4 linked regions of the Elephas maximus indicus genome follow. The protein of the gene in region 3 purifies or fractionates together with the protein of the main gene of each other region. This does not show direct contact. Links are inferred from orthologs where the notes say so. Each region holds a gene or a part of one and is shown on either strand. Other genes may lie near its edges.

What was found.
Region 1: the proteins of KPNA1 (region 3) and ADNP purify together in Homo sapiens (co-immunoprecipitation; 3 studies listed by BioGRID and IntAct, with this or other methods). This does not show direct contact. The link is inferred for Elephas maximus indicus from reciprocal best matches to the Homo sapiens genes KPNA1 and ADNP.
Region 2: the proteins of KPNA1 (region 3) and NOPCHAP1 purify together in Homo sapiens (co-immunoprecipitation; 3 studies listed by BioGRID and IntAct, with this or other methods). This does not show direct contact. The link is inferred for Elephas maximus indicus from reciprocal best matches to the Homo sapiens genes KPNA1 and NOPCHAP1.
Region 4: the proteins of KPNA1 (region 3) and CDKN2AIP purify together in Homo sapiens (co-immunoprecipitation; 4 studies listed by BioGRID and IntAct, with this or other methods). This does not show direct contact. The link is inferred for Elephas maximus indicus from reciprocal best matches to the Homo sapiens genes KPNA1 and CDKN2AIP.

Annotation. Positions count from the first base shown.
Region 1 is NC_064843.1:18,763,157-18,771,637, forward strand, and holds the start of ADNP (activity-dependent neuroprotector homeobox protein), read left to right. Parts: upstream 1-5,353; 5' UTR 5,354-5,458; intron 5,459-8,481. Other genes in the region: DPM1 (dolichol-phosphate mannosyltransferase subunit 1), read left to right, coding at 386-500, 1,392-1,496.
Region 2 is NC_064822.1:171,793,448-171,800,830, reverse strand, and holds the start of NOPCHAP1 (NOP protein chaperone 1), read right to left. Parts: upstream 3,132-7,383; 5' UTR 3,090-3,131; coding exon 2,975-3,089; intron 1,144-2,974; coding exon 1,057-1,143; intron 1-1,056. UniProt on the Homo sapiens protein: Client-loading PAQosome/R2TP complex cofactor that selects NOP58 to promote box C/D small nucleolar ribonucleoprotein (snoRNP) assembly. Acts as a bridge between NOP58 and the R2TP complex via RUVBL1:RUVBL2.
Region 3 is NC_064819.1:13,087,686-13,095,858, forward strand, and holds the start of KPNA1 (importin subunit alpha-5), read right to left. Parts: upstream 3,305-8,173; 5' UTR 3,127-3,304; intron 1-3,126. UniProt on the Homo sapiens protein: Functions in nuclear protein import as an adapter protein for nuclear receptor KPNB1. Binds specifically and directly to substrates containing either a simple or bipartite NLS motif.
Region 4 is NC_064839.1:81,729,131-81,737,512, reverse strand, and holds the start of CDKN2AIP (CDKN2A-interacting protein), read right to left. Parts: upstream 3,024-8,382; 5' UTR 2,788-3,023; coding exon 2,516-2,787; intron 2,066-2,515; coding exon 1,935-2,065; intron 1,507-1,934; coding exon 155-1,506; 3' UTR 1-154. UniProt on the Homo sapiens protein: Regulates DNA damage response in a dose-dependent manner through a number of signaling pathways involved in cell proliferation, apoptosis and senescence.

The sequences.
Region 1 (8,481 bases), on a different chromosome or scaffold from region 3:
TCATCCAGTTTATAGTGCCACTTTATCAACCTCTGTCAATTCTTTTGTGCCAATATTTTGGAACACTTTCTCCTCTTTCAACTTTAAAAGTAAAATTTAAAAACTGAAAATAATGGGAGGTTCTGCTTCAAATGGTTCACTTTACCATATTTTAATAATTTCAGATAGTATGATAGAAAATTCTCTTAAAAATTCATTTTCAAAATGATTTAGCAAATATTTCCTGACAAATGCATCATAATCATCAGTTATGAGAACTTTTCTATATACAAATTGGCAGTGAAAGTTTTAGGCTCTACAAATACCAACAAACATTTTCAATGGTCAAGATATGTAGGCAAGTGTTTTTATCCACATGTTCACATATAATTTTAATTTCTTACAGATTATACCGCAAAGAAGTTCTACAGATATTAATAGAGAACTGTGTTTCTAAGGGCTATGTCTTCCAAATGGAGATGATTGTGCGGGCGAGACAGTTGAATTACACTATTGGCGAGGTATGGGATGAAAATCCTTCATAAGGAAACAGTGAGCTTTAGACTTTTTATATTAAATTGTTTTAACCTTCATACTACCAAATTAACATGGAAGACTTCCCGTTGTTTAGACTGTCCATGTACTCAAAAATGAAAATTCAAATCCCTTTTAAATATGCTTGACCGACCAAGGTTTAACACGTTAATGGAAAGGAGCACTCACATATAAATAATTAAATGTTGCTGGTACCTTGTCCATCCCGGCCTTTTCTTTTGACCATTAGCACTGGAGGGATGAGTCTCTTCATGGCATTTCCTCTTGCCATAGCTAGCAACCACCCTACTTTAGAGTGAGTGGTGAATCCTATGTGCCAATTTCCATGAGTAGATGAAAATTACTAGGGAATACCAAGCGAGGCAGAGAGATATCTTAATATTTAGGGTGAGCCAGTGAGCTCCTTGGGAAGACGGCCCTCATTTTAACACTGATACCCTTAATCAGAGACTCCTTGCTGTCCAGTCAATTCCGACTCATAGTGACGGTGGCGTAGTGGTTAAGTGCTATGGCTGCTAACGAAGGGGTCGGCAGTTCGAATCCGCCAGGCGCTGTTTGGAAACTCTATGGGGCAGTTCTACTCCGTCCTATAGGGTCGCTATGAGTCGGAATCGACTCGAGGGCACTGGGTACTGGTTTTGTTTTTTTACCCTTAATCAAAGGAAGAAAATGGCTAACTTGAAATGCCACTTGTCTTGTGGCAGTTAACAAGCCTTTCACATAATGCTAAAACATAGTGATAGTTAAATTTGACACATAACTAAAAAAATTCAGTGAAAGGCCATTTTACTTGTGGAGTATAGTTTTTCTTTGAATTGCAGCAAGACTGACTTTAATGTATGTATTTTTTTAACCAGGTTCCAATATCATTTGTGGATCGTGTTTATGGTGAATCCAAGTTGGGAGGAAATGAAATACTCTCTTTCTTGAAAGGATTATTGACTCTCTTTGCTACTACATAAAAGAATTCATGTATATTTATCATGTTCATTTCAATTAAAGCATTAAAGAAGCCTGGTTGATGATTTTTATAAAATGTACTCTCTTAGAGCGTAAATCCTAAGGTAAGGTGAATTTCATGTAAATCTTTTTTTCTGAAGAAATTCCACCACTTAATATTTCAAATTGAATTATCAAAATGAGCAGTTTTCTCAATTTTCATTTTACTGTTACGACCTATAAATAGATGTATATGGTTTTCTTTTGCATAAAATATTGCTACTTTCATTAGAGTATGTGAACGCAGAATATCTTATATGGGGAAGAGTTTAAAATATTCTTTATAAGAACTGAATTATAGCTCTTTGTACCTAACATACATCAGAAGAGAAATGTTAATTATATTCATGAAATGTAAATGGCCGTTTCTGTATGAACTGGAAAAAAAAAATACACACTTTTGCCCTTTGCTCAAAAATGTATCTCATATTTCTTAAACCAGCTAAAACAATACATTTAGAATAAAATTTTAGGGTTTTGGTTCTTTGCAGTTATTGAACTGATGAAATATTTCTTCTACTAAAGCAGGTCTAAGTATGTATTGTGAATTGGAAACGGCATGGTGGCAGTTGATTGCACGGCTGGGTTCCCCCCCCCCCCCCCCCCCGCTTCTAAGCAATAACCTCTATAAGTAAGGAAAAATATTGAAAGCACTGAGGCACAAAATATCTTACTGAATTACTTTTATAAAGATTTTTCTCTCAAAATATTTGTTTTTATATTATTTCAAGACCCTCACCAAAGCACTTATCTTTTCTACTATGCAAAAAAAAAAATCCCTTCCCTATAGCTCTTCTCTCCATTCAGAAGGTTGTTCTGCCAGTTAAAACACAGGTTGTTTAATAAAGCCCAGTGCACATGTTCTCTTCACTTACCTTCTCTAAAGGTAGGTATTTCAAAAAAGGTCAGTTTCTAATGGTACCACAGATTTTGGAACCTGCTGTAGGTTTTAAAGTTTGGATGGATAAGACACACCTTGAGCAAATAAGGTTAAGATCAGGTTGATTCAACTTTGCAAGTAAAAGGAAGAGATGTCTCTAAGTTTTCTAATAATCCTATCGAGTGAACAGTATTCTTAATTACTGCATTTTCCAGGTTTAATTTGGCTGCCCAAGAAATTTAAAAGTCTGAGTTGTCATTTGCATTTCTCTCAAAACAGATCCTACCAGAAATGAATGCCAGACTATGAATTCTTTGGTGTCATTTTTAACATTAAAATCCCCTCCCTCCCCATAGTTGATTGCATAGTACACATTCCAGTAAGGGCCACTATTTCCCTTTTGCCCAGAGCTATTCAGCTGACCCACCGGGGGACCCACCTTTCTTTCAGAAATGATTCCTCTCATGGGAATCTCCTTAAAAAACCAAAAACCCAGTGCCCTCCACTAGGAAATTCATCAGTGTTTGATGTAAACTCTTTAGTCTTAAGCTAACAATAGAAATGTAAATATTCTCAATGATTTTCAGTGTTACTCTGTTCCAAATCTATTCTTTCTAACCTAAATGCAAAGTTAAGTTTTCAGTATCCAGTGTGTGGAAGAGATTAAGTTAACTACCTCAGAAAACCCACAGTATAGTATTGCCTTTCATACCTCACTAGAGTAGGTAACTTTTGTCTTTTTAACCTTTTCAGTTCTTACTCCCACAATTATTACAGTGTCATCACCATTGGGATTTATTGTAAAGAAAGTTTTTGAGCAGTCATTTAGAAAAGAATCTGGACTATTTAGATGCAAGTTTGTAGTAAATCTGATGACTTACATACTGGGAAAATGTCTAAAACACATCTGAATCCAGCATCCCTTTTTGCTTTATAAATGAGGTCAAGGATGAAACCCTGATGTTTTCTATTTGTATGGTCACAGTATGAAATCTAAGCATATCTAAGAAAAACTAAAGATAAAATTTGTATTAACTTTTGCCTGTCTTCTGCTATGTGTAATCCATTCTTCATCTTTGTTCCTCTTAATGAAATGCTTTGCCACCACCCCCCCTTTTTCTTAATGTTTTTCAGCCATTGTTTTCAAGTACTTACTTGGTTTGCATAGATAGGTTTTATCAAAATTTCAGAAATTAATGGAATACTGTAGTAAATAAAAGACTTCGTTAAACTAGCTAACCATAGTCTTAGACAAAGGTCTAACTACAGTTTTATATTATCAATTCAGATTCTTTTGAGATGTTAAGTATGGTTTGAGAAATAGCAAGACAAGTGTAACAGCACATACTAAGAAGCTGTTATTCCTTCCCCGTTGGTATTTACTTTTCAATATGCGTAACCAAAGATACGCTCTCAGATGTACTCGACTATAAAAGGTGGCATCAAAAATGTTGATAGTGTATTGGTTGGGGTTGGCCTAAATTTCCATAGGCAAAACTGCGCGGTATCATGCTATCCAGATGGAGAGCACAAAGTCATTGTGCCCAGGAGCACAAACTGTAGTTTTCAAGGATCTTGTGGAGGCCCATGCCAACGGCTTCACTAGTCCAGCGGCCTCAGACACTGGAGATTCCATTTGTTTTCTTCAGGCCAAAAAGAGACCATCACTGTGACTTGGAAAGAATGGCAAGTCCCAGGACAACAGCCAACCTTCTGTAAAAATAAGCCCCCATCTACGAAAAACCCCACCCCAGCAGGAAGGGGTCGGGCCATCCATGGGGTTGTGGTTCATCTCAAGTCGTGTGCAACAGGCCCTCACACCTCATTTAAGGCAGGAGGCGTCAGGCACCGCCAGCCAGGTGCCCTGCTGCTTCCCGCCGCTGCCCGTCCTGTAGGCGTGGGGCCTCCGAGCACGTGGAGCCGCCCCGGGGCTGCCCCGCACACCCCCCTCCCACTAGATGTAGTCCAGGCTCTGCTGGGCCCGCGCAGGGATTCCCAACACGGCCACCTGACTGAGTGCTGGGAGTGCTGCGGCCCGCTGCTTCTGCCTCCGCCGCCGGCGCTGCGGCCAGAGGAAGGCGCCCGCCGTGCACAGGGGCCCTGGAAGCGCACTGCGGCCATTATCCACGGCGCCTCCTAGTGGGTCAATGGCAGATTCTCTTGGTTCTCGCGATAGCTCCCTCTCAGTGGGATTATATAATCCCCCTCAGGCAGGGTCGGGGAGTGCTAGTGGCACCCTCCCTCAGAAAAAGTTAGGAGCAAGAATTGGTGGGAGTAAGGGAGCGATCCCCGGAGCTTCGGGGTAAAAGGGTACTATTCCCCACTGCCCCCCCCCCACTTGGCTGGACAATGAGTCCTCTTATTCTAATGAGGCACTTACGTCACTTCCGCTCTTTCTCGGCCGCCATTTTGGCTAGGGCAGGTTCGGGGACTCGCTCCGAGGCGCTTGTATTGTCTGCTGAGGGGAGACGCGGGATCAGCCCCCTCCCCCGCCCGTTGCCGCCGCCGCCTCCACCGGCCCGGTCTCCCCTCCGCCGCCCGCCGGGATCCATGAGCTGAACTCCCACCCCCCGGTCGCCGCCATCTTGTGCCCCTCCCCCTCCCGCAGGCAGCGCTAAGGGGGATTTTGGCGTCTCCTCAGGCACAGCTCCCTCTCTCGGTCCCCGCTGCTGAGGAGCGAGAGGAGCGCGGCCGCCGCCAGCCTGCCCGCGCCGGTGAAGCCGCCTCTCCCCACACCCTCCGTCTCCTCCCTCCGCCCCTCCTTTGTCTGCACCGCTCGACGACGCTGCCGCCGCCGCCCGCGCGGGGACTGGAGGGAGCCGCTCGCGCCGCCGCCGCCGCCGCCGCCCGCCGCTCTGCTGCGCCCACCGCGCCCCCCGGCAGCAGCCGCGGCCGCGGCGCGAGCCGGAGCCCGCCGAGCCGGAGCGCAGCGAGGCCCTGGGCGCGCCCTCGCCGCCGCCACAGCCGTGCCGCCGCCATCCGCCCGCCGCCGCCGCCCGGCCCCCGAGCACGCCGGCCCCGCGCGCGCCTCGAGGCAGAGCCAAGGTAAGCCCCGCGCGGCCCTGCGCGCCCGGCCCGGCCCGGCCCGTCGCCCCTCGGGCCGCCCCGCCGAGCGCGGCCCTGCGGCGCGGGGCGCAGTATTGTTTGGATCCCCAGCCCTCCAACCACACACGGGCTCCTTTGCATACTCCCCGACTGATGGCCCGCCCGGCCCGCGCCGACCGCTATCCGGGCGCTGCTCCGGGGTCCAGGCGCCTCCTCCTGCAGCCCGACCCCCTTCTCCGCCCCGTGAGCCCGCCGAGGCCAGCAGCCGGCCTGGTCCCCCGAGCTTTTGCAGCTAATCCTGTGTTCGTCCACCCCGCCCCCAGCAAGAAGCGATCTTCTCCCATCTCTGGAACTAATTCCTCCCTCACCAACCGAGCCCCCCACGCACACCCCCAGTGCCCGGAACGAACCTTCTGCCAGGTCTGCCCACCCTGAGCTGGGGGAGGGGGCATTGGGTTGGGGGCGGGTAGCATGCATGGCACGGAGTAAAAAAGTCTTTGCCTATCCTGTGCAATTCTCTGTCCCCACCATTCCAGCTCCCGTCCTATCCTAACCAGAGTGCACCAGCACCCCTTTTTTCCAGTTCCAGATGCCTGGTCACCACGATCTCTTACAAGCATGCTAAGCCCCAACTTTAAATAAGTTAATGAAAAATAGAATGCCCTAAAGCAGCGAAAAGATGTTTATAATGCAATGAATGGGGAGTAGTTGCTTGAGCACTCTTTTCACCTCTTCTCTCCTCTGGGCTGCCTGCCTCCCTTCCCCTCCCCCTCAACCTGGATGTCTGTCTGCTGGAAAAGGCGCGATTGCTCCTCTTCCTCTTCTGCCCAAGACCAAGCTCTAAGGTCTTAGATCCCTTTTGGCCACACACCTACCCACACTAAGTTTTCTTGATGTTCTTGCGTTCACCAATTCCTCTGGATAGTTCTTCCCATAACCCCATTTCTCAGACAAAGGCTTAGGAGGGAAAAAAGAACCAAACTGCTTCCTGTGTTTGCCATTTTAATGCTGTCCATCCCCACACACCCAGTCCCCATCTGTGATGCTTCTCGAGCCTGTGTCTTGAACCTTCAAGATGAGAAGAAAAAAAAATCTCTTGGGTAGCTTGATACAGTTTCTTTATAAATCTGCATTGTTGCTTCTGGTTTATGGCCATGAAGAAAATACCAGCCCCCACCCAAAATGCACCGCAGCCAAGTCGGCTAAAGGCGATGAGTGTTGGAGTCAGTAGGGGGCGCATTCTCTGCACTGGGTAAGGCTGCAGAGGGGGGAAGGGCCCCACAGTTAGAACAGGATGTGCTTCACAGCGCCTTCTACAGACCATGGGAAAATGGGCCCAGCAAGACACACACACACACTCTTAGTTGGTGAGCTGACAGCAACATGGCGAAGGAGTGAGTCAAGAGCAGTGATTTTATTTCTTTTAAAGAATCCACCCTGCATTTTAGAAGTTTTCTCATTTTATTTGTTCAAAACTGTTGACCCTCAGACAGTCCATGTTTGTTCTTGACAAGTCGCCTTGGCACATCCTTGGTATACAGATTTCACCTTCTGTGGAATTCTTCCACCTTTAACTTTGAACGTGTCACCATTTCTTTTCCAAGGTCATGTAGAAAAGGAGAAGGTTTAAAACCTGAGAGTAAGGAGTTTGTGGCATTGTGAATTATCCTGCTTCTTCTTAGTCCAAATCTTTCCAACTCTTTGAGAGTTAAAATCATTCTTGAGGGATGTTAGACTTCAGTGGAGCAGTGATTTTCATGATGGGTGTCATGATCTGCAAAGCCTTGTTGGTTAGCATAAAGCCCATGTTGAGGTCTTCATTGTCAAACTCAACAGAGTTGAGTGTAAAATTTCGGTTCTTTCCAACTTTGAACTCTTTGTCATCATTATCTCCGTAGCCAACCACCGTTGGAAAAGAATTGACACCAGTCTTCTCTGTGAGCACCCACCTTCTTGGGGTGTGTTGATTTCTGTAGATTTTACTTCTGTTGTTATTTCCATAGGTGTGAGATGAACAGTGCAAAACCTAGGCCCCAGCTTTTGTACCATGATGCACACAGGGTTGTATTTGTTGTAGTGAACTGATAGGTGGCCTAGTGGTTATGCCCTGTACTACCATTTTAAGGATCTGGACTCCATTGCCTGCTTTGCTCTTTGGACCACATTGTCAGTTCACACCGGTGGGTATACTCATTTTGGAGGGTGGGAAGGAACTGCAGCAACAGGGAAGCTAGAGACTTCTCCCTTCTTGGTCACCACCAAAGCCAGTGCTTTCTCGATTTCAGCCTAGCCACATTACTCAAGGAACCTGGTTAGGGGTGGTTGCAGTAGTGGGCTTATAGAATAGAGAAATGACTTACGGCTTTTTTAAGAGAAACATTTTAAGTTGACAATTTTAATTAATTACATTCTGCACTCTTGTGTATATGTGTGTTAAGTACTCACTGTTATTTGATGGCCTAGTCTCAAGCGTTGGTAGACTTCAAAGAACTTTCAAAGATTTCCCTGCCCAGAGCAGGCCTTTCCATGAACTTGTTTTGGCTACCAAAGATTGACGGTTGTTGATACTAAGGAGTACTTTCAAGACTTGGTTACATGTCTCTAACGTAGATCCACAGAAATAAATTTATGGAAAATGGATTGGATTTACTCTTTGATACATAGGTAACCGGTTGGTGCTTAAGAGAGAATTCTTTTAGGACATTTGCTACCAAGTAACAGTGAGTGAAAAAGAGGTAGCCTGATTTGGGTATTTCATAAAATCACATGGTATTATTTGTAATTTTTAAAATACTGCTTAGTATTTTTAAAAAAGATTTGATTCTGACCTGATTTGGTCTCTGATAATACAGTTACACAAGTTTTAAAAATGAGTAATTTGAAGACAATGTACCTGAGGATATGTTCAAGTTTGACGTTTGTAGAGGTACTTTGTTTGATTTAATGAATTATAAATAAGATATAATATTAACCGATGTTCTTAGTGGGAATAGCCATCTCCCTCCCCCCCCCCCCCGCCCCGA
Region 2 (7,383 bases), on a different chromosome or scaffold from region 3:
ACACAAAATTATGGGTACTTGGAGTCACTGAAGGGAAGGAGACAGAGAAGAGGAACAGGAAAAGTATTTTGAGAAAGAATGGGCAAAATTTTTCCCGATTTGATGAAAACTATTTTTTATAAACTCACAGATCTGGTTCAACAAATCCCAAGCTCCACAACTACAAAGAAAACTATCTGCAAGGATATCATCAAATGTGTGAAAACCAGTGATAAAGAAAAAATTTCGAAAAGCAGCCCAGAGGGAAAAAAGAAACTACATACAGGATAACAAAGATAAAAAAGACGGCACGCTTCTCATCAGAAATGCTAAGTTCTCTCGGAGTACTGGTGCTTTCTTAGTTTACAGAAGCAATAACCTCATGCATCATTTACACTGTTTTCACTGAATTCTTGTCTTTATTCTCTCTTGTTAACACTAAGATTGAATTATACAGACACTGAGTATTACATGAACGGTCATGTAAATACTGTCTGAGCGTGTACACTCGTGACTGTGCAGTAGAGCAACATACTAAGGAGTAATTAATGAAGAGAGCTATCCCGTAGTTGTTAGGTGATGGCGAGTGGATTTCAACTCATAGTGACCTCGCGTGTGTGACAGAGAAATGCGCTACAGAATTTTCCAGGCTGTAATCTTTATGAGCCTGGTGGCAGAGTGGTTAAGAGCTATGGCAACTAACCAAAAGGTCGGTAATTCGAATCCACCAGGCACTGTGGGACAGTTCTACTGTGTCCTTTAGGGTCGCTATGAGCCTGAATCAACTTGATGGCAACAGGTTTGGTTTTTGTGTGTTTAACCTCTAAAAATATCTCCTATGGAGAGTAATAATAATTATTTTCTACTTCCAAAAATTCATCCTACAAGCATCTTTTTCAGGAGAAAGTTTCCCTCTTCAGGCAACAGAAATTCCAAGTAAGAGTTGCTTCAAGGGACTCTCTATGGCTTGATATCTGATTATGAAGACAGAAAGTGTCCCATCAAGTAACAGCTTAATTAGGCAAAACTGAGCAAACATCAGAGAAGACTTAAGAAAGAAAACAGAGGAGTACTTACAGGGACTCCTCTCTATCCGAACTGTTTGAAGATTAGAGTTCTTTCTGGAATTAGGCTTGGAGTTGATAAGCAACCTGTCCCATATTCCTGGAAAAACACACATGCACATGATTTACTATGTCATAAAAAATAAGGGCCTATCAGCAAACCTCCCATGACCAGTCTCAAGTCTTGACTGCTCCACATCCCCTGAGATATTTTTTTAAAAAGAGGTGCTCCAAGCTCCATTGCAACTTGTTTCTCATCGTTTAGTTCTTTATATTTATCTATTACCCCTTTCTTAAGCCTGTCACACACATCTATACCCCAAGGCTAAGTGACATAAATGCACACTAAACTATCTTTCTGGATCAGAAGTTCATCAGTAGACAGATGTGGGCCTGTAATGACAGAATGGAGAAAGCAGTAAAGAATACAATAACTGTTCAGTGAAGCCAGAAAGCATTGCTGTGTAATATTGGGCAAGTCACCGAACCTTTCTGGGCATTACGTAGTTTTTTCATTTGTAAGACATGCCTGCATGGTTAGTTCCCCTGAAGATGTCCAGCTTCGACAAAATAGCCCTTTGGAGAAATTTTGTGTCTACTTCCACCTCCACCTTTCAGCTTCATCTCTCACTACTCCTCAAATCAACCCAACTCTCCAGCCCATCAGCAATCCTAGAACAAGATTTGTCTTTCAAAACTCAAGGATTTGCACACCCTATTTCTAATACCTGGAAAATCTGTTCACTCTCTGATACCAAAATCCTGTTCATCCTCAAAGCAAAGCTTTCAAACATTTATTGATATTGCTACTGAAAGCCTAGCAATTGGATTAGTATTAAGAACATGGATTCTGGAGCCAGGCTGCTTGGATTCAAATCCCAGTATGACTACTTTCCTGCGGAATGATCTCCAGCAAGTTACTTATCTGTATGATAAACCATGCCTCCATTTCCTCCCCTATAAAATGTAGATAACAGAGCCTACTTCATGGGATTGTTGTGAGGATTAAATTAGATAATTCCTGGAGTACAGTAAACACTACATAAGCTTTGGCTTCTGTTTGTTAAAGCCATCCACTTGTCATGTTTCTGTTACAGCAGCACTGGATAACTAAGACACTTGGTAAAGCAGAGGGTGAGTGAAAGAAAGGAAGACCTTTAACTAGATGGATTGACACTTGAGCAATGATCTGAGCATGGCTCAGGATAGGGTCGCTCTGAGTCAGAACCGACTCGAGTGCACCTAACAACACAATTGCCCCACAGGGTCTTTTCTCCCATGGAGCCAAAGGTGGGTTCAAACCGCCGACCTTTCCATTATCTGCTCAACAGCTTAACCACTGTGTCACTACTACCTCCATGTTCAAAATGTTAAGAGTGAGGCTTAATGAATGTAAATAACCCTCTTAAGGTTCCACAGCTAATTACTCATGGAGCTGGGATTCGAACCCATGATTTTTAATTCTGTATTGTTTGAAATGCTGTGTAGATTTCCTGGCACCGTCTACGAGAGAGCAGCACCAAGTAGTTCTGTGGTATATTGGGGGCGTGGGGAGGTGGGTTATTATCCATAATATCCATTGGCCGGTCCCCCATCAGCCAACTCCTTCATCCCACACAGGCGACCCTAAGGCCCTCTCCTTCGAGAAATTCGGGTGCGCCCCAGCTTCGGGGGCCGGGGAGGGCGCGTGGCAAATATAAGAACCACCGGCTCGAGGAGCTCTAGGGCCCGCACGGCTCTGGGACCCGGCCCGGTGCTGGGTGCCCCCCACCTCCGCGATGGCGGGACTGACCCAGCCCTGAAGCACCCACGGGGCTCCCCTCAGGGTTACGGGCCTGAGCAGGCAGCCGCCGGCCCCGGGCTGCTCCGGCCGCCACCCCCCGCCCCGCCGCACGTGCGCGCCCCACTCCGCCACCGCCACCGCCCGTCACCTCCGAGGCCGCCGCTCCCGGCCGTCAGCAGCTCCTTGGACACCGACACCCCCGAGCAGCCCGGGGTGGACAAAGAACAGTTCGGCCTGGGGTCGGGTTGACCGTGCATCTCCATGCTTCCCGCAACCCTCAGATCGAGCCGGCCAGGCCGGATGTAGGGAAGAGGCCAGGGTAGAAGGCGGGACCAGGGCCGCCATTGGAAGAAACTCGGAGGTGGGCGGGGCGAGGGGGACAGGGCGCGGGGGGGGGAGTGGGCGAGGGCGACACCTAGCGGAGCGACACCTGGCGGAGCTACCGGGCAGCGCAGGAGCGTTCAGGCATTCCTACCATGAAGCCCCTTGGGGAAAAAAGAGCTGGCAAGGCTCTATTTAAACAAAATATATAAATGGTGACATGAAGAGCGCAGCATGGGGCTGCCCCCCCTTTATGCTTTTAACAATATTTATTGACCACCTGCAGTATGCCCAGACTCTTCTAGACGTTGCGGAGTTCCCAAAAGCAAAAATCTTAAACCAATCTTTTTTTCTACTCGTTTCTGAGCAGGGGCTCCACAGTCAGCCAGAGTTAAATCCAGTCCCAGGTCAACCATTTGCTTGCTACCTGTGACCTTCAGCAGATCACTCTCTGAGCCTCAGTTTCCTCCTCTATAAAATGGGGATGATAATATCTACTTTACAGGGTTGTCGTGAGGGATAAAAAGGAAGAGGACTGAAATGTACGTAAGGGCACAGGCAGCCACGTTACTGTTATTATTATAATTAGTTAATGTAACCAAATTAAAAAACGTAGGGCACAAATAATTATGGGAGAAATGACAGTAGGTACTGAGAGAGAAGTTGAACAAATGTGTATTTGCTAACTGGCTCTTTCATTGATCCATTGACCAACTGAAAATCTTCCCACCTCGGTAGTCTGGGGTTCTAGCCTCTGGGAATGTCCCGTATCTCTTTTGCAAATTGTTGATTGACTGAGACCAGAATCACCTCAGGGGGGCATCTCTGGTTCTTAACAATAATTTAGAATTTTAGACATTCACATCTGGCCAAGTCAGGCTAGTAGATGCACTGGCAAAAATCAGTCTTCCTTCTAGCAAATGATGTTAACCAGAAAAACAACTTTATAAAATATGGTGGTAAATATAAAAGATAGCTTTTCTCACTTTTTATCTTTTTAAAAGATAATTACTGTTTACAGCAAAAATAAACTAATGAGGAACACTAAATTTTAGAGGAACGATGAACCTGGGACATCTTGTGTATCAGAAAGCAATGAAGCTCTCAAAGACTATTTAGGGCATGTCATAAGGACCCAGAAGCGAACTCCAAGAGATTCCTACTAGCCAAAGTTGGGACAATTAGAACACCAAGAAGAATACTGTCTATAGATGGTTGAAATACATCAAATACATTAAAAAAAAAAAAAAAAAAGCATAAGTCTGTGACAATGATGAAAATAAATGAACAAAAAAAATTAAAAACCTCTCTTTAGTTGCCTTTGCTGGTTGTTAGACCACCACCTCTACTCTGAAAATTATAAAGGCAAACGTTAAGCATTTTTCTTAATCTTTACTGCAAAAACTATGTTTCAGACAACCAAGTAGTTGATGTGGGAAAGTTCTTTTTAGAGGATAATTCTAACTGATCAATACATGCAGAGTTAGAATAACACCATTTTGCAACCCTCATGCATCAAGCAGGAGTTCCTAGGTGGCAACGTGGCTAAGTGCTCAACTACTAACCGAAAGACTGGTGGTTCGAACACACCCAAACAACAGTTAGGAAGAAAGGCCTGGCCATATTTCTAAAAGCCTTGAAAACTCTACGGAGCACAGTTCTACTTTACAACACAAAGGGTCGCCATAATTCAGAATCAACTCGTCAGCAACTGGTTTAGTTTTTTTTGCTTTGGCATGTGTCTTGGGCATCTAGTGTTTCTGTAACAGAAATAGCACAAGTGGATAGTTTTAACAAAGAGAAGCTTATTCTCTCACAGTTCAGTAAGCTAGAAGTCCAAATTCAGGGCCCAAGGGGAAGCCTTTCTCTCTCTGTCGGCTCTGGAAGAAGGTCCTTGTCATCAGTCTTCCCTTGGTCTGGGAGCATCCCAGCGCAGGAACCTCAGGTTCAAAGAATGGGCTTTGCTCCAGGTGCTGCTTTCTTGGTGATATGAGGTCCTCTTTCTCTGCTAGCTTCCCTTTCCTTTCATCTTTTGAGAGATAAACAGTGGTACAGGCCACAGCCCAGGGAAACTCCTTTTAGGTTGAATCAAGGATGTGACCTGATAAGGGTGATACAATCCCACCCTAATCCTCTTTAGCATAAAATACAATCACAAAATGGAGGACAATCATAGAATACTGGAAATCACGGCCTAAGCAAGTTAATACACGCATTTGGGGAGGGACATAATTCAATCCATGACATTGTGGATCAAGGCTACAGTTATTAATGGATGCTGTCCTGGATGGAATCGTGTCCCCCCAAAATATGTGTCAATTTGCCTAGACCATGATTCCCAGTATTGTGTAGTTGTCCTCCATTTTGTGATTTGATGTAATTTTCCTGTGTGTTGTAAATCCTAACTTCTGCATGGGTTAATTAGGTAAGATTAGGCTATGTATCCTTTCACCATACCTATTCAATCTATATGCGGAGCAAATAATCCCAGAAGCTGGACTATATGAAGAAGAATGGGGCATCAGGATTGGAGAAAGACTCATTAACAACCTGCCTTATGCAGATGACACAACCTTGCTTGTTGAAAGTGAAGAGAACTTGAGGCACTTATTAATGAAGATCAAAGACCAAAGCCTTCAGTATGGATTGCACCTCAACATAAAGAAAACAAAAATCCTCACAACTTGGCCAATAAGCCATATCATGATAGGAGAAAAGATTGAAGTTGTCAAGGATCTCATTTTACTTAGATCCACAATCAACACGCACGGAGCAGCAGTCAAGAAATCAAAGGACACATTGCATTGGCAAATCTGCTGCAAAGGACCTCTTTAAAGCACTGGAAACCGAAGATGTCACCTTGAAGACTAAGGTGCACCTGACCCAAGCCGTGGTACTCTCAATCGCATCATATGCATGTGAAAGCTGGACAATGAATAAGGAAGACTGAAGAAGAATTGATGCCTTTGAATTGTGGTGTTGGCGAAGAATATTGAATATACCATGGACTGCCAAAAGAATGACCAAATCTGTCCTGGAAGAAGTGCGCCCAGAATGCTCCTTAGAGGCAAGGATTGCGAGACTGCATCTTACATACTTTGGACATGGTGTCAGGAGGGATCAGTCCCTGGAGAAGGACATCATGCTTGGCAGAGTACAGGGTCAGCGGAAAAGAGGAAGACCCTCAATAAGGTGGATTGACACAGTGGCTACAACAATGGGCTTAAACATAACGATTCTAAGAATGGTGCAGGACTGAGCAGTGTTTCGTTCTGTTGTGCATTGGGTTGCTATGAGTCGGAACCAGCCTAATGGCACCTAACAACAACAACAACACAGGTTATGTTACAGAGGATTAGGGAGTGATGTTACACCCTTACTCAGGTCACAGCCCTGATCTAAGGGGAGTTTCCCCAGGGTATGGTCTCCATCACCTTTTATCTTACAAAATATAAAAGGAGAGGGGAGCAAACAAAGAGATGAAGGCCTCATACCACCAAGAAAGAACCACAGGGAGCAGAACATGTCCTTTGGACCCCAGTCCCTGTGCTGAGACTCTCTTAGACCAGTGGAAGATTGATGACAAGACCTTCCCCCCAAAGCCAACAAAGAGATAAAGATTTCCTTTGGGGCTTGCGTCCTGAATTTGGACTTCTAGCCTCCTAAACTGTGAGGGAATTGGCATCTGTTTGTTAAAGCCATCCACTTGTGGTATTTTTGTTATAGTGGCGCTGGATAACTGAGACAGATGCTAAAACCATTTAGTGAAAGCTTGACTGCAAAATTCATAATGAATATATCACACTGAGAAAATCCGGCTCCACCAATCATCCTAACATCATGAAAAGTGTAACTACCAGATACTGTGTGTCCCTGCTGTAACGCATCAGGAAGTACACAGCGCCAACTAATAAGTTTTCTTACCTCCCCACCCCACCCCCAAAATTAAACCTTTCTCTAACCAAACCCCTACTGTTAACTACCAGTTTATAGGAAATATGACCAACAGCAGGACAAGGGAAACTACTCAAGACAGCAATCAGCCAAATCTTGTTGTCATCAAGTGGGCTCTGACTCGTGGCAACCTTATATATAACAGAATGAAATATTCCCTGGTCCTGTGCCAGTCTCATAATTGTTGGTATGTTTGAGCCCCTTGCTACAGCTATTATGTCAATCCATCTCATGAAGGTTTTCCCTTGTTTTCCCTTTTTTCTACTTTACCAAGCATGATGT
Region 3 (8,173 bases):
CAAGAACTGTTCCAATTAGTCAACAACACTAAGTCAGAACTGTATTTTCATTTAGGTCTGTTCTGTAGCATTGCAATATCTTAGCAATAAAAAAAAAAAAAAAAAAAAAAAAACACAACACCTGTACTTTCCACCAGTCTTCATCTCTGCTCTTTCAATGTTTGACTTGAAAATTTTCTAACACAGGCCCTATTTGGTCCCCAGCTGGCCTGGGGCCATCTATCTCCTGCTTACTGTAACAAGAGTGAAATCAGCTGAAATCACCTAACTGAAGTGTTCACCATTTCTGATATTTTCTTCCATTATGGCTGAATTCATAATATCCTGCAAAGTACACCGAGATCTTAAAACAAAACAAAGACAGTAACGAGATTATCTTTAGGTCATCTTTACTTGCATGGTCAATCAAAAGTTGATTTTATACACAGTATTCACACATACTTCCAAAAATAATTTGACAGATTTAAAGGCAAGACGTCAGAAAATCATCAAGACTTTATTTAATCATTAATTCAACAAACAACATGCTAAAACACTGGAGATAAAAAGAATAAAATATTTCTTGGAAGAAGTACAGCCAGAAAGCTCCTCAGAAGCAAGAATGGCCAGACTTCATCTCTCCTACTTTGGACATATTATCAGGAAGAACCAGTCCCGGGAGAAGGACATCATGCTCGGTAAAGTAAAGTGTCAGTGAAAAGAAGAAGACCCTCAACAAGACGGACGGACTGACTCAGTGGCCGCAACAACAGGCTCAAACACAGCAATGACTCTAAAGCTGGTGAAAGACCGGGCGGGGTCACTAGGAGGCAGAGCCGACTCGATGGCACCTAACAACAACAATTCAACCAGCAATATGCTGAAAACACTGGAGATAAAAAGAATAAGATGTAATTCCTGCCCTCAAACGGAAGAGGAAAGGTAAAATAAGAAAATAGTGAAGGCATAAGAGAACACAAAGAAAACAGGCCAGGAAACAACTGAGCATAATTCCAGGCTACCTCGCAAAAAATATACATAACACAGTTGAGGCTAAGGAAAATTACAAAAATTCAACACAACTCAGTTCTGAGCCTCCTGACAGCCAAAGTGTAAAGAGAAACAGAACGGCATTAAAACAATCATGATCTAATAAAAAGCAGTTGTTTAAAAAACTAAAAATAAAAATGACCGAGAAAAAAGCCTGGTACTGAGCTCGTAAGAATCTGTCTCTAAGGTCTCTATTTTATGAAGATCGATGAATAAATAAGAAATAGTGTCTCCAGGAGCAACGAAGTTAAGATTATTTTCATGTCCTTTCTTCTACGTCGATCCTAGATAAAAGTCAAGGTACATGATATTATATCATAGTTCTATGAAAAAATTTATTTGAGAAGCTAAAGTAACATTATGTAAGTATACTGATTTCATGGAATAGGTTTATTTTTGTCATTTGGTTCATTCTAGGTTTCTATGTTTTGATTTCCTATTAGACTGTAAACTCCTCAAGGATTATACTGTCTGCCTGCATTTGAACTTCCTTTGCTATTTAGTAAAGTGCTTTACAGTTTCTGCTCAATTACAACGACTAATAAAATGCCCTGCAGTCAGTATTTTATATTGTTAGTCTTTCCTGCTACATTATAAATTCCATGAGGACAGGGACAGTGTCTTGTATAAATTCCATGAGGACAGGGACAGTGTCTTGATGACGACTATATCTCAGGCACATGATCACTCCATAAATATTAGCTGAATAAATGAAATAAAACAAAACCCGTGAGTATTAGAGAAGAAATCTTAAAATGGAAGTGATTTAGGGCTCTAAGGCTGGTTCCAACAAGGCCTGAATGACCTTAGGTAAGTTACTTAACTTCCCCGACCTTCGATGTTTTTGTCTATATAACAGGACAAATTAATATTTACTTTTTAAAAATTTACTTCAGAGTTACTGACAACATTAAATGTTTTAATACATGTAACATACTTAACACTACGCCTTCAAAGGCGCTCAATTAATAGTCATTCCTCTACTTTCTCTCATGTCCTGCACGTCAAAAACATGAATCGCACATAAAACAGGGCCTTCCAAGACTAAATTATTTCAGTAAAAATAAAATAGAGTTCCTTCTCACTTTGCTTTGAGAAAATGTCATTTCTTCAGTCTTTAAAATCGGGGGAAAGTAATGTGAGAATTACTTTCAGAATATTACAGAAGGAAGAACAAATTAAGGAAACAACAATGCCAAAAATAAGCTTTGAAGCATGGGGGGTGGGGGGCGCCCGACGGCGGGACCACCTACCCATCCCCTGCTAAGAAATGGGGGCTTTGAAGACACCGTTTATTTAAGAAAAAGACTGAAAAACATCATTTAGCAGCCTTTACAGAAAAAAATTCACAGTCGTTGATTCTAAATTTAAATCTTAAAAGTCAATTGTTTTGCAATCTGTCATTGAAAAGGGGCTCGTTAAGTACTTCCTTCCGTTCGACCCTAAAACGTTCCTTCGCGACGATTTCCCTAAGTCACCGTTGAGTTTCCTCACGTTTTGAGCTGAACCTGACACCTGGCTGTTTCCCTCGAGTCGCACACGCCACGCACACGCGAACTTCTGTCATTCCTATAATTACCACAGCCCCGTCGGCCGCTTCGGGCCCCGGTTGTTATGACATCTGTAAACTGCAGTCGTTCCTGCCTCCTCCCAGGCCGCCCGGCCGCCGCTCCGGGCTGGGCCCCAACTCGTCGGTCCCCACGACGGCCCCTTCCTGCCCTGGCGACGGTTCGTCCTCGCCGCCCTGCCCTCCCCGGCCCGGGTCCCCGCGCTCCGCGCTGCCCGCCGCCGCCCCCGGCCGGCCTCACCCCGCCCCGCCGCCTCGGCGCCCCGCGGTCCCCGGCGCCGCTTCCAGCCCCGCCTCGACCGGCGTTCCTGACGGCGATCGCGCCCGCGCTCCCCACCCCCACCCTGGCCTGCGCCGGCCGCGCGGCCGTTAGTGAGGACAGCCGGGCCCGTGACGCACGGACGCGCCGCCAACGCCCGGGCCCGGGAGCCGAGCTCGAGCCCGGCCGGCGCACGCCCTCACGCCGGGGCCTCCCGCGGGTCGCACCGAGGGAGGGGGAGGGGCCGCGGCCGCGAGGCCCCAGCACTCACCAGGCTGAGGGCAACCGATCCCGGTGCCACTGCTGAGGTGAGCCGCTCGCCCGCCCGTCCGCTGTAGCTCCTCTGCGCACAACCTCGGAGAGCCGGCCGGCGCCGCGGCGGTGCTCACCAGGCCTCGCTCTCCGCCGCCGCGCACCGAGCAGCGAGACCAGCTCAGCCGGCGTTCGCACTGCGCCTGCGTGCGGGGGCCGGTCCCCGCGCCTGCGCGCTCCGCTCCGCCGCCCTGCCGCAGAGGCTGCTGGGAGACGTAGTCTTCCACCAGTGTGGCACTGAGCGCCGCTCGCCGTCTCCAGTCTGTAAGGAGCCTGGGGTAGGGGAGGGGGTTCGCTGTCCACAGCGCGGGTTGTAGATTCGTGGAGGCGTGACAGAGACGGTACTTCTTACTTTGTATGGCAAAGTTATGTTTACAAATCTGTCTTCACTAAACTTTTTCAGGGCGGATGAAGCCTCATTCACCTCTCCATATTTAGCTTCTGACATGGCAAGTACCTAATACGTGTTTATTGGATGAATGATGTATTGAAGCCCCAGGGGGCATTTAAAAAGTGTTAAAAGTGAGTGGCCTCAGGTCTAAGGCGTTCGCGTGCTGCATGGTTGCAGGAAGTCCCTGTGTATTCCACTTCTAATTCTTTCCTATCCCCATTGCCCGATAATATATGAGTAAGAAATTATATGAAACCCAAATAATTGTTTTGCTCTCAATAAGTGCTCTCAAACGAACATTTAGGGCACATAAATATTATGGTTAAATTTAAGGGAAAAAATATATAATGGAATTCTTCTTTTGAGGGAGCAAGTAAAGCAGTGGCTTCAAAAGAAGAAAGATGGAAGCCAACCAAGCAGAGGTCATGGAATAGGAAGTCTCACAGACGACATGTTTTATCAAATCAATTTAAAAGATAGGCGGAGAAGCCAGGAAAAAGAGATGGGGTAGGTTATTTACATTTATAAGTGAGGGAAAGACGGGAGGACCATACCACCTGAATCCTAGGTTAGGCAATGTTTGTATGTCCTGGATTTCTGTCTTCCCTATCAGCTTACCCACTGTGATGCACTTAGACGGATCAGACTGGAAGTTTGAGCAGGGGTGCTGAGGAAGTGGAAGGTGTTTATGGGAGAGACTTGGGAGCAAGGATGCCTGACCACAGCTAAGCTAAGGGCAGATCACCTATTCCAATTGGAAACTAGGATTATTCTGAGCTGGACTACCATCTTTATGGAAGCTAGTTGATTTCCAGTTCATCCTTATTCCTAGCTAGGGTACAGCCCTTGAGGGTCCCAGCCAAGTGTGGGGTATAGTTACTAGGGCCTCTTCTCCTTGGCTTGAGAGCAAGAGGTTTGGTTTTGGTTCTCCTTGGCCATGCCTCCCCAGCCCCAAGGGACAGCCAAAAGCTCTGCTCAGTTTTTCAGCCACTGCTTTCAGAATCTGTCATCTCAAGTGGAAAGCTGAGCTTCCCCTTTTTTCCAGATCTTGAACTCACAGGTTTTCACTGCCTTGGTAGCTCTTCAGTGCCTTAATCTTTTGTATATTTTGTCTAGTTGTTCTCTGAGAGTTGGTCTAATACAGCAACAGTATGCCATTGCTGGAAGCAGAATTCCTACATCCATGTTACTTTTACAAAAAACGTTATCATACATGGTGTTTTACAAACTAATGACTCTCTTAGTACATCTTTTTGTATTTTGAGAAATTAAAAAATTATAAAACAGTATTTTTGCTATGATAAACAATGCTGCTATGAACATTCTTATACAGGGAAACTGCTAGATCCTAGGAGGTTGACTATTTTCACTAGATGTGCTGCGAAGAATTCTAAGATGGTTCCAACTATCTCTGCTTCCTGGTGTTGCCTTATATAATCCCCTCCCCTTGATTGGGGGGCGGGAACTTTGACTTCTACCGGATAGAATATGGCAAGGGTGATGGGATGTTATTCTATGACTGTGTTTCACTATGGGAGACTCTGTCTTACTAACTGAGCTAGAGACTGGCCTGGTGGCCTTGAAGAAGCAAGCTGCCATGTTGTGAACTGAAAAAGGTCTCCTGGCAGGAAACCGTAAGTGACCCCCAGGACTCTGGGGAAGCCTCCAGGTCAACCAACAGCCATAAAAAGCCAGGGCCCTCAGTCATCGACCACAAACCCAGTGTCGTGGAGTCGATTCTGACTCACACAACCAGAAGGAAAAGAATTCTGCCAACAATCAGAGAACTTGGAAGCAGATTCTCCCTCAGTCACACCTCCAGATGAGAACACAGCCTGGCTGATACCTGATTGCAGCCTTGTAAGACCCTGAGCAGAGGAAACGCCTAAGCTGTGCCTGGACTTCTGACACCCAGATATTGTGAGCTAATAAATGTGTTTTAAGCCACTAAGCCTGTGGTAATTTGTCACACAGCAGTAGAAAACTAATACACTAGGTATTGCTGGATTATTTCACAAAGTAGTTGTACCAATTTATACTCCCACAGTTTATAATACTGTCTTTTCTACATATTTTTGCTAACATTTAGAAATGCCTGATTTTTTTTTTTAATTTTTGCCAGTCTGGTGTGGAAATAAATAATATATAATAAACAATCATACACATGCATTATTATTTTTATTTAAAAACATGAAAAATAGATGTTTACTTGAAATTATATAGTTTTATTTCTTTTCTGTTACATAAATGCTATTATTTAAACAAAAGAAATATGTGTGAAAAACATATAACAATATTTTTATGATGTTTCTGTCCTCTAATACAGAAATTTATTTTAACTCTTTTTTTAATTCCATTACATATTTAAATTTTATAGGCTATATTATTGTGTGTTCTTAAGATACATAAATGTGAGACTTTTTAAAAAGAGAATGTAAATACAATGGGACTAATTAAACAGATACTACCTATATTAAAAAGTAACAATGACATGTTTCTTTCTGTCCCAAGATACAGTAGGATATTTTTACTCTTTTAGTTGCCTTTTCTATTAATGCATCTCTGAACTCCCTGGAGCCTTTAGGGTATCTTTCTTTTCTTTTGTGTAGTGGTAAAACTGAATACAGTCAGACATAAAATTAATTTCGACTTGCAGCTCTGCTCTTATAATGCCTACATTGCACTGATTCCTGGTGTCAGTACAATGCAATGACATTAAATATTCTCTCAACAAACGTGTTTGAGCATAAAATACTTAGGATTTTACTTAATAACACAGCAGTTCTTTTAACTTGTAGGAATTCATTTCCAGCTTTCCAAAATGTCCATCCACTTTGTATCTACAAGCTTGCTTTGGTAAACTAGCTTTTGTCTGTCAATCGGGTCCTTTGCATCTATAATCATGTAGGTTCTCCATGTCTAAAATGCCCATCATTTTTAAACACTCTGAAATACGTTGAATGTCATCATAAGTTAACTCTCTTTTCCCCAGGCAAAATCATTTTAAAGCATAGAGGTGATTTGAATTGTGAAATCAAACTTGGAGTCCAAATTAGTCAGTTTAAAAATTATGAAGCAATCTTACTTACAAAAAAATTTAGTCTTTTTTTTTTTTTCTATGTGAGTTTTTATTGCAATCTACACAGAACATTGAACAACTCAGGTGCAGTCCGTTCATCCTTTTTCTAGGCTCGTTATGGCCTCTTCAAGGATTATCAAACAGTTTTAGAAAACAGTATGTATGTTTCTGTTTTACTGTAATCCTTGTCCCCTTTCTCATTCTCAATGTATTTCCAAATTGGAGCAGGATATTCTTCTTGTTGCACACTTTGAAAATGTGATTTTATGGCAAACAAATATTTTAACGTCTTTTCTACGGCCAGCAATGATGATAGTCATATTGTAGGCACATGTCTAAGGAGATTATCTCTGTCATGGATTGAATTGTCTCCCACAAAAATGTGTGTCGACTTGGCTAGACCATGATTTCTAGTATTGTGTGGTTGTCCACCATTTTGTGATCTGATGTGATTATCTTATGCGTTGTAACTCTTAACCTCTATGATGTTAATGAGGCAGAATTACAGGCAGTTATGTTAATGAGGCAGGACTCAATCTAAGGGATTGGGTTGCATCTTGAGTCAATCTCTTTTGAGATATATAAGGGAGAAACGAGCAGAGAGGAGAGCGGCCTCAAACCACCAAGAAAGAAGTACCGGGAGTAGAGCACGTCCTTTGGATCCAGGGTTCCTGCACTGAGAAGCTCCTACACCAGGGGAAGATTGATAACAAGGACCTTCCCCCAGAACTGACAGACAAAGCCCTCCCTGGGAGCTGGCACCCTGAATTCAGACTTCTAGCCTCCTAAACTGTGAGAGAATAAACTTCTCTTTGTTAAAACCATCCACTTGTGGTATTCCTGTTATAGCAGCAGTAGATAACTAAGACAATCTCATTCCATTTCTATGAAGTGAAAAATGTGATTAAGTGCTTTTCCACATTTTGAAGAAACTAAAGTGACCAAAACTTTCATTATGAAAGCTGCCATGTCACATGTAAGCAAACCACACTCCTCGTTTAGCAGTGTTGTTTACAAGGTGTGCAGGACGTTCGTTGTTTCTAGTTGCCATGGACTTGGTGCTGACTCATGGCGACACCATGTGTACAGAGTAGAGCCGCCCCATAGGGTTTTCATGGCTGTAATCTTTCAGAAGCAGATTGCTAGGCCTGTCTCCCAGGGTGCCTCTGGTGGGTTTGAAGCACCAGAGTTTTGGCTAGCAGTTGAGCACTTAAGTGTTTGCACCACCCAGGGACTCTTCGCAGGACATTTAGTAGATGAAATCTTTTCATTTTCTTCGTTAAGAAGTTTAGAGATTGAATGCAAAATTAGCATTTGCACTGAAAACACTTAAATGAGCCAAGTCAAGTTTGTATTTGGATATCAACAATCTTGTTTTATAGTTTTGTGGTTTCATTAAAATCTTCATAAAGATTGCAATCAATGTCATGGAACAATTTGTGTATGAATTATCGAATGGAAAACTGATTTGCTGTGTAAACTTTCACCTAAAGCACAGTAAAATGTTTTAAAAAAAAAATCTTCATGGATACCAAG
Region 4 (8,382 bases), on a different chromosome or scaffold from region 3:
TTTCTACTTTGTGAAGAGAACTAGAATGTAAATTTTCTGCAAAACTGGAAAAAAGGAATACAAAATTTGTGAAAGCCTGTTTTATATTGTACAAAAGTAAGCCAGTTTTTCTCTCCAAATACTAGGTATTTTATGCAGTGATCTTTTGAACACATTACGGTAATTCTTGAGGATGCTTTAACGCTGGCGGTAAGTTTACAGGCCTTGATTCTTCATCAAGAAGCACTAAATCTTCTATTTCACCGCCTCTGTATTTCCTTTTACATATTTTTACCACCACCTTTTTCTTGAGAAATAACTTCAGTGCTTCTCTTGATGCAACAGCTTTTGCATTTTCTTTGCTTTTTCCACAGCCAGTGCCCAAATACACAGACTTGCACCTTAATTCACAAACAATACTTTCTTGAGAGCTCTTATTTTGAGGCAGATCTGCCAGTTCTTTTAGTGGGACAAAAAACACATCCAGTGTTGCTTTGAGAGCCTCAACAGCTGCATTTAGGAGCTCTCCATGATTCACATTGGGACTAAAGCCACCAACAGCTACCAACTTCCATGCTACCGTTTTATACAGTCTATTAAAAAAAGGTTGCTTCTGTTTCACATCTTCATTTGTTAACTTGCAACAAGAGACTCTGACAGAACTCTCACTTGACTGTGAAGTACTTTTAGAAGGCAACTGTGATGTGCTAGTCTGAGAACTACTCTTAGAAGCTAGCTGGGACACACTTGCTAAGGAAGTGCTTTTGGAAACCAGAGATCCACTGGTCTGGGGGCTGCTCTTGGAAGCTAAAAGTGATGCAGCTACCTGGGAAGTGCTTTTGGAAGTCAGCAGTGATGTATTTGTTGAGGAGCTACTCTTGGGAGTTAGCAAGGATGTGCCTGATGAAGAACTGTTTTTAGAAATTGATGATGAAACACTTGCCTCTGAACTAGTTTTAGAAGCTAACCCACTTGAAGCTGTCTCTGAACTAGGTTTAGAAGACAAGAGTGGCAATTCTACTTCTGAGCTTCCGGAGGAGCCCAACAAGGGCACCTGAATCTCTGAGCTGCTTTGAGAAGCTGAGACTGAAGAGCCTTCCAAAGCACTCTTTTTAGGTGAACCACTTTGTTGCCTGGAATCAGTGGATTGGGTCACATGACTATTCACACTTGATTTCAACAAAGAGGAAACAAACAGTGCTGAACCATGTTTATCTGAAGCTTCTGATTCAGAAACTTTTCCAGACCCTGCCGTTGTTACCTGAGAGGAAATGCTGCTGCTGCTTTGGCTGGAACTGGGTCTATCCCCATCACTTGTAGAGATAGTCTCACTCAAGGATATGCCAGAGCTAAGACTTGAGTTCCCACTATTCTCCGATTTGGTGGACGACCCCGTACATGTTGAACTGTTTTCCTGCTTAGCTGATGCATATTCTGTTTTGGCAGAAGTTTTTGCATGATCTTGCTCAACTGCAGAATTGTTTTTTCCTTCTATGCCTCGTTTTTTGGATGGTTCTTCTACCCCTTCTAAAAGGAAGGAAAACAGAGATATGTGACTAAGTCTGCCTAATACATATCCACTGAAAATTTATATAACAGATACTTATTAAAATAAGGTCAGAAGGTAAAAATATTTCAAGACTATTAGTTTAAGAAGCATGAAATAACTTCATTAATTTCTAAAAGTGTTGAATAGCACCATTAATTTCTAGCATTAAAAATTAACAGCAACAGACACAATTATTTGACATTTCAAAATCTAAGGCAGTCAAACAAAACTATCAAATTCAGAGCCTAAAAACATAGAGATATATATTTTAGATTTAACATTCCAACTTGATTAATAGCATTAGATAAATTCTAACTTGTTAAAAAATTAGTAATAACATAAAGCCAAATTATATCAAACTTATGCTCTAAACTCCTATGTATGTTCACATCTATGATCTGCTAACCATTGCTACTCGATATCCCTCTTTTCTTCACCTTGGCAACCAGTTCATCTCGTGTTGTATGGATTGGAGCATCTGTCACTTTGATGCCTTCAGCCATACTAAGTATTTTATCCATAACTTTTTGAGGGTACCTGAAAAAGAGGGGAAAAGTTCACTTTAAAAAAAAAAAACTTTTTCCCTTCTAATTTAATACTTCTGGTGTGCAAAACAGGCCAAAGGAACTGGACTTCCTGGTTGTAATCGAGATAATGTACTGCCAGGAACCGTTTCCTGGACACTCCGTCAACAAATGACCCAGGGTCTGGGAGGCAGGGTCTATCCTCACCAACCTGTGATCTACTGTCCGTCGACAACAGCTCTGTCAGCTCAGCGCCAACAACTTCGGCAGCCCCACACCACGGGGTCCCTCCCCAGTGTCTATCACAAGCCTGCTGCTCGCGGAGACGCCCTTCTCAGCCTTCGAGGGCAGCCGGTCCCGCGAACTCCCGCCTTCACAGACACTTCCCCGCCCCACAGCCAGCGGGTTTTCGCTGAGGGCTCGGGGAGAGAGGGCAAAATGGGGGAGCCGCTTCCTCACTCACCGGCACCCGAGGAAGACGTGGTTTGCCCAGGCCATGGAGAAGGAGACGAGCTGCTGCAGCTGCCGACTGCGGCTCCCGCTCTCGGCGTCGGCAGCTTCATCCGTGTGGCTGGAAGCGACGCCGCCGGTGGGGGCCAGGTCCCCGGCGTTGCGGAGCAGAAACTCCCGGCGGTGGCGCCAGTGTTTGTCAGTCTCGCCGTCGCAGCGCAGCGTCTCCACCCAGAGAGCCACCCGCGGGTTCTGGCTCAGGTACTCCGACACCTCCTGCGCCATGTTGGGCCTGCGGGTCGCGAAGGCCGCGAGCAGACGCTGCACCGGGACAGAGGCGGGGGCGCGGACGCGAACGGCCCTGTCACCGCAGCCGCAGCGGGGCCCTCAGAGAACGCCCCTCGCAAGGCCCAAACACCAGCGCTGGCCGCCGAACCGCCCACTTCCGCCCGCCGCCGGCTCCTTCCCCTTTATAACCTCGCCGCCCAGAGCCCGCGCGTCCTTCCGGCGCGCGCCGGCTCTCCCAGCATGCTTTGCGGCGCCCGAGCCGTCGCGAGGCTGCGGCCGGATCGGCCTACGTGAGGGGACGGGGTTGAGGGCGGAGCGAGGCGGCCCTGGGCCTTCCGCTGCGCGGGGCGGGCCGCGAGTGGACTTCGCCCGGGGAGCCCTGGACCTTGGCGGCAACCCAAGCGCCCCAGCTTCGCTTTGTGACGCCGCGCACGCTCTGCCCGACCCCTTCCCCCGGAAGCCTGGGCTAGGGTGGTGGGAGAGCCGGGAGGGAGGTGGCGCGGGGTCGGGGGAGGGGCCGGGGGCGGGCGCGGGGAGAGCCGGGGGGCGGGCGCGGGGTCGGGGGGCGGGCGCGGGGTCGGGGGGCGGGCGCGGGGTCGGGGGGCGGGCGCGGGGTCGGGGGGCGGGCGCGGGGTCGGGGGGCGGGCGCGGGGTCGGGGGGCGGGCGCGGGGTCGGGGGGCGGGCGCGGGGTCGGGGAGGGGGAGCCGGGCCGCCCGCCGGAGGAGGGCCGATAGTTGCAGTTCGCCGGAGGCTCCCTCGCCCGGTGGTTGACTTTGAGCCGCCGGTAGCTGCGCGGCCTGTGGGTCTCCTTCCTGAAGACTCCTGTACTTGAGCGGGCCGGACAGAAACCATAGCTCGCCCTCAGTTTCTTTTCGTTATATCAGAAAGCAGGTTCTCGTACAGTTTTCAAGTAGACAAGCCCAGCAGTCCGAGACGTTCTAAGGATTTAGGAACTCGGGGGCGCATGTTACCTGAAAGAATAAAGTTAAACGACCAGTCCAGTTCAGACTTGCTTTGTGGAGCCCGTTTGCAGCTAGTCCTAGCCGTCTCGAGTTCTGTTTGGTTACCCCAGTTTCTTAGGTCACTCGTTCAACCCCAGCAATACCTGCTAACTCTCGCTGTCTTTTTTGGTCACTAACAATTGTGCACCGAGTACCTTCAATCTGCGTATTATTCCGTTAAATTAGCAAACCCTGTTACCTCCAACTGGACCGATAGCTGGGCGGTGATGTGGAAACGTAACCTGTTAATTTCTACCGTCTGTAACCTTTCCCTCTTAGAGCCATTTTTCTGCACTTCAAAATTTCCATAGTTAAAAAATGTACTATCACTGCCGACCGGCTTATCCTTAAGTTTCCAATTTTAGGTATGTACTTGTTGTAAGTGGTATAGTTAAGAGCTACTGGTGCTAACCAAAAAGATCAGAAGTTCAAATCCACTAGGCGCTCCTTGGAAACTATGGGGCAATTCTACTCTGTCCTATAGGGTTGTTATGAGTTGGAATAGACTCAATGGCAGTGGTTTTTTTTTTTTTTTTAATGAATTATGGAAACTTTGGCGTGTAGCGGTTAAAAGCTACAGCTGCTAACCAAAAGGTCGGTGCTCCTTGGAAACCCTATGGAGCAGTTCCCTGTCCTTTAAGATCACTATGAGTCGGAATCCACTCAACGGCAATGGATATGGTTTTTTTTGTGTGTGTGTGGTATTCTAAATTGTAATGAACCATACATTAAAAAAAAATTTTTTTTTAATGATAAATTAGGAAATTGAAAGAAATTTTCCTTTCAATAAGTGATCTGGGGCTTTGACCTAAAAATGCTGGCATCAGGATAAGCAAAAGGAAAATGGTTAGATAAGATTAACAAAAAATATGATTTACATGCACACTGGATTAATCAAAATCTAGCTGTTATATGAAAATAACAGTATTGCCCACTTTTCTGCCATTTTAAAAGAAACTCCATAAAAACGGACAAATTTTGATCACTCGCTTGAGATTTTGCTTCTAGTTTTGCTATTCTTTTTTCCTTTGTTAATTGCTGAAATTTTAGAGGGGTGGAAGGATTGCAAAGTCCTTTCTATTTAGAAGACTAGGAGAATCTTACTGTTTTTCCTTTTATGAATTCTTTGGCAAGGCGGTGGGGAGCAGCAAGGAAAAATCTGTGCTCAAATAGCTGGGTAGTATTTGTGGATGTTTAAATGGGTAATGTTTCTCCTTAGTTTTATTTAATTTTGAATAGGTAATACATTCACATGGTTCAAAATTGTACCAAAAAGTTATACAATGTGAAGTGTCCCTTTCATCCCTGTTTCAGTTAACCTGTTTTTCTAACCAGAAGCAACCGATGAGACCTGTTTTCTAGCTAGAATTCAATATTTACATATGTACACAAATACAGTACCCCCTCTTCACAGAAATGGTAACATAACTATGCACAGTATTCTGCGCTTTTTTCAATAGGAGATTGTTGGTGTGCTTACTAGGATAAAAAAAAAAAAAACTAACCTATTGTTGTTTAGTTGCTTCTGACTCCTAGTGACTCCATAGGACAGAGTAGAACTGCCCCATAGGGTTTCCAAGGACCAGCTGGTGGATTCGAACTGTTGACCTTTTGGTTAGGAGCATGTCTTTTTTTTTTTATTAACTGTGCTTTAAGTGAAAAGTTTACAATTCAAGTCAGTTTGTCATACAAAAACTTACACACGCATTGTTATGTGACCCTAGTTGCGCTCCCTGTAATGTGACAGCACACTCCTCTCCATCCTGTGTTCCCCGTGTCCATTCAACCAGCTCCTGTCCCCATCTGTCTTCTCATCTTGCCTCCAAACGGAAGCTGCCCACATAGTCTGATGTGTCTACTTGAGCTAAGAAGCACACTCCTAACCAGTATCATTGTATGTCTTATAGTCCCGTTTAATCTTTGTCTGTAGAGTTGGCTTCAAGAATGGTTTTAGTTTTGGGCTAACAGAGAGTCCAGGGGCCATGACCTCTGGGATCCACCCAGTCTCAGACTATTAAGTCCGGCCGTTTTACTAGAATTTGAGGTCTGCATCCCCCTTTTCTCCTCCATCAGGGATTCTCTGTTGTGTCATTGGTGGTAGCCAGGTACCATCTAGTTCTTCCAGTCTCAGGCTGATGGAGTCTGGTTTATGTGGCCATTTCTGTCTCATGGGCTCGTATTTTCCTTGTGTCTTTAGTGTTCGTTCTCCTTTGCTCCAGGTGGGTTGAGACCAGTTGATGCATCTTAGATGGCCGTTTGCTAGCTTTTAAGGCCCCAGACGCCACTCACCAAAGTAAGATGCAGAATGTTTTCTTAATACACTTTGTTATACCAGTTGACCTAGATGTCTCCTGAAACTATGGTCCCCAGGCCCTGCCCCTGTTACTCTGTCCCTTGATGTGTTTGGTTGTATTCAGGAAACTTAGCTTTTAGTTTAGTCTGGTTATGCTGACTTCCCCTGTATAGTGTGTTGTCATTCTCTTCACCTAAAATAATTTTTGTCTACTATCTAATTAGTGAATACCCCTCTCCCTCCCTTCCTACCCTTGTAACCATCAAAGAATGTTTTCTTCTGTGTTTAAACCTTTTCTTGAGTTCTTCATAATAGTGGTCTCATACAATATTTGTTTTTTTGTGACTAATTTCACTCAGCCTAATGCCTTCCAGATTCCTCCATGTTATGAGATGTTTCACGGATTCATCGTTGTTCTTTATCATTGCATGGTATTCCATTGTGTAAATATACTGTAATTTGTTTATCCATTCATCCGTTGATGAGCACCCTGGTTGTCTCCGTCTTTTTGCTATTGTAAACAGTGCTGCAGTGAGTATGGGTGTGCACGTATCTATTCGTGTGAAGGCTCTTATTTCTCTAGGATATATTCCAAGGAGTGGGATTGCAGGATTGTATAGTAGTTCTATTTCTAGCTTTTTAAGGAAGCGCCAAATCGATTTACAAAGTGGTTGTACCATTTTACATTCCCACCAGCAGTGTATAAGAGCTCGAATCTTTCCACAGCCTCTCCAACATTTATTTTGTGCTTTTGCATTAATGCCAGCCTTGTTGAGATGAGATGGTATCTCATTGTAGTTTTGATTTGCATTTTTAATGGTTAATGATCATGAGCATTTCCTCATGTACCTGTTAGCAGCCTGAATGTCTTATTTGGTGAAGTGCCTGTTCATATTCCTTTGTCCATTTTTTAATTGGGTTATTTGTCTTTTTGTTGTTGAGGTTTTGCTGTATCTTGTAGATTTCAGAGATCACTGATTAGATTTGTCAAAGCCAAAATTTTTTTCCCAGTCTGTAGGTTGTGTTTTTACTCTTTTGGTCTTTGGATGAGCATGAGTGTTTCATTTTTAGGAGCTCCCAGTTCTCTAGTTTCTCTTCTGGTATTTGTACATTGTTAGTAATGTTTCGTATACTATTTATTTATGCCGTGTATTAGGGCCCCTGGTGTTCCTATTTTTTCTTCCATGATTTTTATCATTTTAGATTTTATATTTAGGTCTTTTGAGTTTGTTTTTGTGCATGGTGTGAGGTATGGGTCTTGATTCATTTTTTTTGCAGATGGATATCCAGTTATGCTAGCACCATTTGTTAAAGAGACTGTCTTTTCCCCATTTAATGGCCTTTGGGCCTTTGTCAAACATCAGCTGGTCATAGGTAGATGAATTTATGTCTGGATTCTCAAATCCATTCCATTGGTTTATGTATCTTTAGTTGTACCAGTACCAGGCTGTTTTGACTACTGTAACAGTCTATTTCTTAATCACTGTGCCACCAGGCCTCTGCTTATTAGGATAGAATTAATTAATTAATTTACTGAATGTCTAGGGGAGGTATCATAGATTGAATTACATCCCTCCAAAAATGTGTGTATCAACTTAGCTAGGCCATGATTCCCAGAATTCTGTGGTTATCCTCCATTTTGTGAATGTAATTGTGTGTTAAAGAGGAATAGGGTGGGATTGTAACAGGACCCTCATTCAGGTCACCTCCCTGATCCAAGGTAAAGGGAGTTACCCCGGGGTGTGGCCTGCCCCACCTATTATCTCTCAATAGATGAAAGGGAAGCAAGTAAAGAGTTGGAGACCTCATACCACCAAGAAAGCAGCACCAGGAACAGAGCAGTCGTTGGGACCCAGGATCTCTGTGTCTGAGAAGCTCCTCGACCAGGGGAAGATTGAGGACAAAGAGCTTCCTCCAGAGCCGACAGAGAGAGAAAGCCTTCCCCTGGACGCCTTTGAATTTGGACTTGTAACCTACTAGACTGTGAGAAAATAAATTTCTCTTTGATAAAGCCATCCACTGGTGGTATTTCTGTTATGGCAGCACTAGATGACTAAAACAGGAGGTTTGACATCTTCATGATGTTTAATCTTCCTATTCAGGAACAAAACCAAAAAAACCAAACCTGTTGCCAACGATTCAGTTCTGACTCCTAGCTTCTATTCAGATCTTCTTTTTTGTTGTTTTGAATTTTGCCTTAGTTATCTAGTGCTGCCATAACAGAAATACCACAGTGGATAGTTTTAACAAAGAGAAATTTATTCTCTCACAGTCTAGTAGGTTACAAGCCCAAATTC